Linked DNA regions of Kluyveromyces lactis. The protein of the gene in region 3 binds, or shares a complex with, the protein of the main gene of each other region. Links are inferred from orthologs where the notes say so. Each region holds a gene or a part of one and is shown on either strand. Other genes may lie near its edges.

Region 1 (2,658 bases), on a different chromosome or scaffold from region 3:
CGCCTGGTTCTAGTCTACCAGGTCATGCAATTGGGTTACTATTAGGATACTTCATGGGGTTGAAAGAGAATTGGGTAGCCAAGATTACTCCACCAAGCTTTGTATTGAAGAAAATTGAAACATGGGTCGATCCATTGATCAATCTGATCCCATTCGGTATTAAGTACTATAGGGAAGTTGAAGTGGACAGATCACTTGAATATACTTCCGTTTACCTGGGGTCAGAATCCAGATTGCCCTTGCATAATACGGATACTCCAGCGGAGCCCACATTTCAAGGAAACGGAAGAGTCTTGGGAAATTGAAATGTGAATCCTCAGAAATTAGATACTAGAGATTTAAATCATCTGCTGTTCTTCTTCTTTTTCTTCAAACCCAACTTTTGAAATATTGATAATTATATTTACATGCGTGTTACTTCGATGCGGCGGGGAGAATTATATTCATTCTATATACATAGGGAAACATCCTTTTTAATTATTTTCTGTCATTCCTCTTTTTCTCTCATACGTTGAGTTCCTCGAGTATGTGCTTTCTCAAGATGTTCTTCTTGATATTCTTCTTCAACAGTTGAGGATTCTCCAAACCTTTCGATAGTAAAAATTCATTAGCCAAGGATTCGTTCTTGGTATACTCTGCCAATTTTTCTGTAATAGCATCGATCTTCTGCTGCTGTTGTTTCACTTGGGTTTCAATCTTGAGAATATCCAACTGTAATATTTGCTTCAAGGATTCCGGACTAAACTTATCAATTCCGTAACGGCTCTTAATCTCTTTAACTGCGGCAGAATCCTCGGTACCATCTGTATAAGCCTTCTGTAATACACGAACATCATTCAAAAGTGTCGATTCCACACCCTGTTTACGTTCTCTCCTTTCTAAAAAGGCCTTAGTCTTCTCGTTTTCCTCGCTGGCAACGTTGATCTTGGCCTGTTCTTGGAATAAAGCAAATTGTTGACCTTTATTTCTGATAATTTCAGCAACGGAAAAAAACTTTCTCTTGGACAAAGGTCTCGTAGCTTCAATACGTACTAAATCCCCTTCACGAGAAACCTCAGATTCATCATGAACCAAATAATCCTTCCTATGGAACAACTCTTTGTTGATTCTCTTATCGAAAACTTTGGTCTCAACACGAACTTTCACAGTCTTCTGCATCTTCCCTTGGGAGATGACCATCCCAATAAAATTTTGACGAGCCATGGTTGAAGGTGGGCTAATTTATTCTTGGATAGTGGTATCGACGAACCAATTGACACAGAGCTAACTAGACTGCTCTATTGTTCTTTTAACAGCATCGACCTAACCGTTCATGGCCTCAAGGCTTTAAAATTTTTTGATGTTGGAAAGATCACCACCGTTTCTAATGATAGATCACGTGATTTAGTTCTTCACCAAGAATATGGAGGTATGAGGTTAGTCTTGGGTTTTATAGAACTAAACTACTTCTTAGCACACTTGGCCCAGTTTGAAACGTCCGTGGGTAGATTAGAATGTTATAAGGCAATGTGGGACGCTAAATGTCCCTTTTTCATGTTCCTGTTGCTCTTGAGAATGGCAAACGGCTTAACATTCTGGCCATAAAAATTAAAGGATTGGTCTGTTTTAGAATCTTCACATGACCTTAAATATCGAAACTAACCGAGAGAAGGGGTTTGAAGGGGTCTACGATACCAGAAAGACCAATCAAAACACTGCGATATACATTTAAATTACAGAGGATTTCTATTTCAAAGATTTTTCAAGGAAAACTAGCCATTAATCATGGATTATCGAAATAGTAAAAGGTCCAGTATCTCATTTGGAAGCTATCAAAGGCAACTGAACCTGTTAGACAATGTAGGGAACAACGGAGTTAATTTCTACCAGCGACCAAACCAAGGCCATTCTCAACAGTTACAACATGGGCAGCAACAGCAGCAACAGCAACAGTTGGGACTGGGGAGTGGGAATAGTAACTATACATTGGACAAGCTAAAAACGGTAACGACATGTCAGTACCAGTCCAGCGCTCCACTTTTCGCGCTTTCTTGGAATCAGAACGATCAATGTGCCCTGGGGACATATAAGGAAGATTCCTACAATAGAATAGAGATCATCAACGGATCGAACGATTATTCTACATGGGAATGTACCAACGTTGCTAACGTGGTTTATCCTATATCCAGGATCCAATGGATGCCTCAAAACAATACAAGACTAGCAACATGCTCGGATTCCCTAAGGATATGGTCGTTGGATGGCAGTTTACAGGAACAGATCAACCTTTCTTTATACAAATACGGGAAACACCCTAGTTCTGCGTCTCAAAAGGATACTGTCACGTTGGGCCAACTCCCACCCGTCACATCGTTCCATTGGAGTCCCATCTCCCCTAACCTACTATTATCGTGTAGCATCGACACGACGTGTACCGTATGGGATCTTTCGAACTCTACCAACTACGTAAAGACGCAATTGATTGCACATGATAGCGAAGTGTTCGACGTGAAATTCTTGGCACAATCGACGCAGTTGTTTGCCAGCTGCGGTGGTGATGGATCCGTCAGAGTGTTTGACCTCAGATCACTGGCACACAGTACCATCGTGTACGATCACGGGAACGAGACTTCACGCGGCTCCAGCGGTGGTGGAGCAGCAGCAGCAGATGGTCCAAAC
Region 2 (3,033 bases), on a different chromosome or scaffold from region 3:
AAGAAAAACAAAAGATTAGCGATAAGCGGCTTTTAGCAGTCACAGAGTTGATTATCCATCGCCAGGTGCCTATTTCCTACTAGGAATTTTATTTAACAGAATGTACTAAACCTAACATTCCCGGCCAGTGAATATTATGATGGTTATTGCAAATACGAAAAAATAAGAACTCCTCATAGGGGGCTCGAACCCCTGACATTTCGGTTCCTTGCGAGCAATGCTTAAAAGCCGAACGCTCTACCAACTGAGCTAACAAGGACGAGTTCTCAAGTTCCTCAGAGTTTTGGAAGTATTTTATACTTGATGTTGAAGTTTTAGTTGAATACCGTTTTCCGTACCTTATCCGCTCTTGCCTATATCAACCAGAGATACGCTAATAATGAGAGAGGATTGTGAGCTATTCGCAAACGGTTATATTGCATTTGTGACTATGTACATGTAATTAAGACCCATATTTTAAAGAGAGCCAACAGTCTATTTATGATTGGAAGTACTGGTATACTCCTATTGTGTGGAGAACAATCTGTTGTTAACCGCAGACCAGTTCAAGTTATCTAAACACTTCCTTACGTAAGTGGATCTGCCCTTAATACCGTAATCATTCAAGTATGAATGGTCCCACAAACTGATCGCAATCAAAGGCATTGTCCAATCTTTAACGTCTGCATTTGCGGCAAGTAGATCTCTCATCGTTACAAACTGTTCCATTTCTTCTAAGGATAGAGCACTGTTCAAATCGAAAGATTGGTTTCTAGCAAAGTAGTATGGAGTACCATTATTTTGAACTGTTAGGATGTGAAGTTCCTTGGCATCATTTTCCACAAGGAATAGCCATCCTTGACCTAACACATCTTCTTCTGCATGTCTAACCATTTCATCCTTAAAAGCATCCCAAGTCATTGAATATTGTGATTCTAGCTTCTGTAGAAACTCACGAGATGGATGTGTAACTTGTTCCATAGGCAATATGTTTTCTATGAACAAATGGTTATTGTGCAAAGCACTAGCCAAATTGAAAATGTTTGTTTGGTATGATTTCTTCGCAGTGTGCAGTACTAAATGGAATGGCAAGTAGGATTCTGCGGCAGTTCCTGCAGATGCCAGTGTTAGCTTATCGCACAAAAGCTGCTGCTGGTCAACCCAGCAAGTTTTGAATGTGTTAGCGCTCATAACATGAGGGATGCCTGAATCCAAAAGTTGTGAAATACCAGGTATCTTTGGAACTGTGTGTATTCCTCTGAACAGTTGACGCCCAAACATTGACATTAAATATTTTTAGTTAGTTGCCTCAATTATATCAATCGTTCCGAAACTCTAGGAAGAATGTAAATAGGATGCATTGAGCAAGAAATAGTAGACTTTCTAGTTATGCATTTTAGATTCATGAATTGATACAAGTCGAAATGATTTCAATTTTTCCTGTTCGGCAATGTTGAATGCTAAGAAAAATTTTAAGATTTGAAATGTTACCCGGAACTCATTATCTTCTCTAGCTTAATGAACTAGACTAATAATCAATAAAGTCCAAATAAGATACACCCGTAGGATATAATCCGACAAGAGGTAGACAAGGAGATTCGTGGGAAGAACCTTCGAGTTTTTAATTTCAATTCTTTCAATGATTAAATTCAAGTATTATTACTCCCTCTTATCTTTTCTTATTTTATATTTTTGAATAACATAATCACAGCAAAAACCTGGTAAATAAAACAAACATTATTGAGCTGAGTTGTCTACGGACTTGATGACATTTTTTAGTTACACCTAAAGGTGAATTATGCGGATTTAAAAGGCTAGTTATACATAGTCTTGAAAGGCTTGAAGAACCAGGAGAAACTGTGGACGCGTTTGGTGATTAGTTGATAGCATTCTAATGTCATTTGGTGTACCTTTGTCTCAACTGATACAAGCGCGTGCAGATCATGTACGAAGTGGCATTGAGAGTTTAGACGATTCATTGAATGACGGATTCCAACCACAGAGTATCTACGAGGTTTACGGACCTCCAGGAATTGGCAAGACAAAGTTCGCGGTACAATTAGTGAACAATAATCAGAATAGGATGAAATGTCTGTGGATTGACACGTTCCAGCAAGTACCACTGAAGCTTATAGAGCAAGGAGATGAGGACGAAGTCCATTTCAAAGGGTGCCAATTCGCAAGAGTGAAGAAATTTGCTCAACTGTGGTACATGTTTCAGAATTTAAAAGAGACGTACGGGCTCATAATAATCGATGGTTTATCTCAGCTTTTGGTAGAGTATCTCCATATGTACGAGAAGAACAGTGGATATTCTAACCATCGACAGACCTTGCACGATTTCAAGGTGAAAAGTTTGATACAATTGCTTGTCACCATAACTAAATACGCCACTTCAAACAATACGGTGGTGGTATTACTTAATGACGCTATGAACACAGGTTACCAGGACTATTCAGACGATGCAGTTGTCTCATACAACGATCCCAGCAACGGAACCCACTCAGATGGTTCCTTTAGCAATTTCCTCGTGAAATCTCAACGGAAACGTCACGTGCAAGTGTTGAAGAGTGGATTAGTAGCAAATGCAGCCGTTGGAAGTAAAGATGCCCGTTGGGAGGTGTTTCTTCGATGCAGGATCGGTGTGTTCTGGAATTGGGATGCAGAACAAAAGCAGAATCCTAACTCCCAGAAAAGAATCATCCCCGAGGTATCACGGCAGTTTGTTGTACAACATCAACAGCCAGTGGGCTCGAAGAATAAACTGGTTTGGGTTAAGACTAATGAATCTGGGAACTTTTATAGCTGTCACACAACTATAGTCGCAGAAAACCCAACAACTGCTGTCACTGACAATCTTCTTCCTACGAACACTTCCTCAAGTGCGACAGCTGCTGCTGCTGCAGTAGCCGCAGCACCGGTGCTTCCCCCAAACAAGAGAAGACGGGTTTTATACACGGAGCCAAGTCCGAGCCGTATGCTATTAGATGTTCAAAGTCACAGTCAGCCCGTAACACCAAACTCTTCGCAATCAATCCAGTTTACACCACGAAT
Region 3 (3,128 bases):
TTTTAGGTAACGGAATAGGATCGTAGGTTAATTTGTCTTCGCAGGAAGCAATTAGATTGGTTTTCCATTTCAATCTTCTTAATTGCCAGGTTCCTAAGTAGAACGAGATCACGGGCATGGCAATCATCAGTCCTAGAAAAATACGCTTACCCCATCGTGATTCCTTCTTTTGAAATCCTTCAGTAGGTGTCTTCTTTGTTTTGATAGGTTTCCAGTCAACAGTCGATGTCCTGACCGTGCTATAAAGTCGTCTTACCGGCCTTACCTTTGGTACAGTGAATGGCCTAGCCACAATGAAGCGAAACATATGCTTTGCTAATTGTGTGATACTAGTAGCTTCCGCTAAGAATTGAAATGCGTTTGAACAATTAGTAACAGCAAAGAAGTTAAAGCTTTTCTAATCATGTTTATACGCGATTAGATATACTACTCATCTGCTTTCATCATCTTCATTTTCCAATCTTTTAAAGATCAGAAAAGTGTGAAATATTCTAAAAGTCACGTGAAGAAGAATTTGGAACTCCGACGTTGTGGGGATATTAATATGTACAAGGTTACGTAGATCTGAGTATTGATTGTTTTATGAGAATGATCATCTAGGTCGTAATTGAATCATGTGAAGGTTGTTCAGATAGTTTCTTCATAGGAGAAAAAGTGAAAGTAATTTAAATATGGAGTTGGTTGAAATCAAGCAGAGTAATATACCTTCTTGACATCCACAATTTTCTTACCTCTACCTAGAGCAATTTCATCTATAGATTTTTGAGACTTGGTGATAGCGTCTATAGTACCCTTGGCTATGTTCATGATATTTCTACTCTTGTAAACTTTTGCACTTAAATCTTTGATACCAGCACATTCACAAATTTCATAAATTACGTGATTGACTCTTAGACCGAAACCTGGCTTAGCAGCTCTCAAGAATAGTTTCACACCGTGGTATCTATAGTCTATGTCTTCAAAAATAGTTCTTTTTTCAAATCTAGGCACTTCTTTTAAGTTCCTCACTGCATCCCAATGAGCTTTCTTGATGGATTCTGCCATATCTTCACGGGATTTACCCTCACCGATTCCTACCATACCATTCTTATCACCAACAACCACAAGAGAATAGAAGGATGGAATTTTACCTTTTGCAGTTTGATTAGAAACCATCTTTAAGATCAATGGTTTCATCACTAGTTTTCTGGCGATATGTTGAGCATCGAACCCCGTCTGTAGTTGGATATTATTGGCAATGTTTTGTATATCTGATCTGCCTTCAGTTTGTAAGTATGAACCCACAGGAGGAGTCAAATCTGGATGCTTTTCCATCTCTTGAACGAATACCGAAGATGAGCTTGAATGTAGATGTGGAGAGTTTGGTTTATAATCCCAATAAGGATGTAATGTGGCAAAGTTATCCAAATATGGTGGTGAGAATTCAACATTTGTCTGTGGTTTGAACTCTACATTGTCAGGAATTACTTTATCAGCTAAGGAAATAGACTTGAGTAGTTCTGGAGAGTAGTATTTCTTCAACAGGTCTTGTTGAAATACACGAGCAGTGCTCGAGAAACAACGGACGAACATTCTCAAATACGATCAGGGTTATTGAGAAAGACGCTGCAACTCACTATGTTGAATTTTGCTCCTCGACCTGTCTAAACCTGCTTCAAAAGACTTCTGGTGTCAATTATATTAGACCTTATTCTGGTGTATATGTCTGAGTATGTTGCCATTCTGTATTAACTATTGAAATTTTTTTAATTTTTGAAAATCGATCAATCGTTACAAATGAGAGAGCATTATTCTTGATCATGTGATTAGAAATTCACAATTCTTAGCTGAAGATCCACCCACTAAGGTATGGTAAGATTAGCAGTGGTTGCACATCTTTAAAATCTTCTTCAGACGTTCAAAGGAGGATACATGGAGTATGTTTCAGGTATGTTCCACGCATCTTTACCCTTACATGGTAGATGACACTATCATATGGAATGCTATCCGGGTAACATGTTTTTTTGTTTCATTTCTGAGTCTGTTTCATCCAATATTGAGCTCTGTCGCTTAAACAACGACTTACCTGCTTTAATAAAGCCGGTCACTAAAACATCTATATTAGTGGTTTAGTATCGCTATATACAATTTCCAGAGAAGATCTTTTTTCAAAACACTACATATTCTTCTGATACATAGTGGAGCAACATGTTTCAGCTGGCAATGTTATACACGGGCTTTGTTGTCATTAGAATCAATATTAGTACCATATCCTTTCAGTACCTTAAAGATGAAACATTCATATCACGAAGACTCTTCTTTTAGGTATATATTTTACTATGTTTTAAAACCCATTTAGAAAGATTCTTTATCTACAGGAAATAATGAACTAAATACAAATAGTATTTAGTTATGCAGGAACATGAAGACCAATAGAATAAAGATGATCTGGTGTCTTGCCCTGCATGAAGAGAGAGTAATCCCAAAATGCCTGAATTTTTGAAAAACTGCAGATGTTTTCTTTCTCAATTTTGGTCCGAGAATAAATTCATATGAGACATACCAATCCTGTTGGTTCTCTTTCCAAATGAAATCAACTCCACTTATCTGACAAGATTACCATATAAGTTACTCGTTAATTTATATAAAAATATTGGAACGAAATACTCGTTCACATGGATGGAGGTAGAATCTGAAATCAATTCGGAAGAAGTTATGTTTTCTGGAACCAATCCCTAGTGGCAATGCGACATCAATAGTGATTTACTTGTGCGTCATGTGAAAATTCCATGCCGCAGGTAGATTGACAAACTAATGCATTTACTAACGCTACCCAGCAGTGATATACATATGGTAAGAAAGGAAACCACCTGGCCTTGCAAGTTTTCTTTTCCTCTTATTTTTCCTGCCAATACGTGCAGTAGCATTCTCTTAATATTTTCTCTAATGCAGCGTTTTCGTTCTCTGACAAGAAGTAATGGTTCTAGCCAGATCTTCTTCCTCGCATGAAAAATAAAATGCTCGACAGATACCAGAAATGACCGTTCCGATTCCAGAACGTTACACATTCCTCTTCTCCGTCACTTTAAACTTTCATTGTTACCCGAATATTATTATCTAGGTATTTTTTTCAGTGTTATCTGCCGGAT

The links. Proteins that work in one complex are often made in the same cells at the same time.
Region 1: MRPS5 (region 3) and MRPS17 share a complex: the UniProt entries of both Saccharomyces cerevisiae proteins name them as parts of the mitochondrial small ribosomal subunit. The link is inferred for Kluyveromyces lactis from reciprocal best matches to the Saccharomyces cerevisiae genes MRPS5 and MRPS17.
Region 2: MRPS5 (region 3) and RSM26 share a complex: the UniProt entries of both Saccharomyces cerevisiae proteins name them as parts of the mitochondrial small ribosomal subunit. The link is inferred for Kluyveromyces lactis from reciprocal best matches to the Saccharomyces cerevisiae genes MRPS5 and RSM26.

The regions. Positions count from the first base shown.
Region 1 is NC_006040.1:1,091,016-1,093,673, reverse strand, and holds MRPS17 (mitochondrial 37S ribosomal protein uS17m), read right to left. Parts: upstream 1,204-2,658; coding exon 505-1,203; downstream 1-504. Other genes in the region: putative rhomboid protease RBD2, read left to right, coding at 1-305; KLLA0_D12760g (uncharacterized protein), read left to right, coding at 1,765-2,658. UniProt on the Saccharomyces cerevisiae protein: Component of the mitochondrial ribosome (mitoribosome), a dedicated translation machinery responsible for the synthesis of mitochondrial genome-encoded proteins, including at least some of the essential transmembrane subunits of the mitochondrial respiratory chain.
Region 2 is NC_006041.1:118,045-121,077, reverse strand, and holds RSM26 (mitochondrial 37S ribosomal protein mS42), read right to left. Parts: upstream 1,267-3,033; coding exon 505-1,266; downstream 1-504. Other genes in the region: putative DNA-dependent ATPase RAD55, read left to right, coding at 1,874-3,033. UniProt on the Saccharomyces cerevisiae protein: Component of the mitochondrial ribosome (mitoribosome), a dedicated translation machinery responsible for the synthesis of mitochondrial genome-encoded proteins, including at least some of the essential transmembrane subunits of the mitochondrial respiratory chain.
Region 3 is NC_006038.1:1,002,121-1,005,248, forward strand, and holds MRPS5 (mitochondrial 37S ribosomal protein uS5m), read right to left. Parts: upstream 1,573-3,128; coding exon 688-1,572; downstream 1-687. Other genes in the region: cytochrome oxidase assembly protein SHY1, read right to left, coding at 1-307. UniProt on the Saccharomyces cerevisiae protein: Component of the mitochondrial ribosome (mitoribosome), a dedicated translation machinery responsible for the synthesis of mitochondrial genome-encoded proteins, including at least some of the essential transmembrane subunits of the mitochondrial respiratory chain.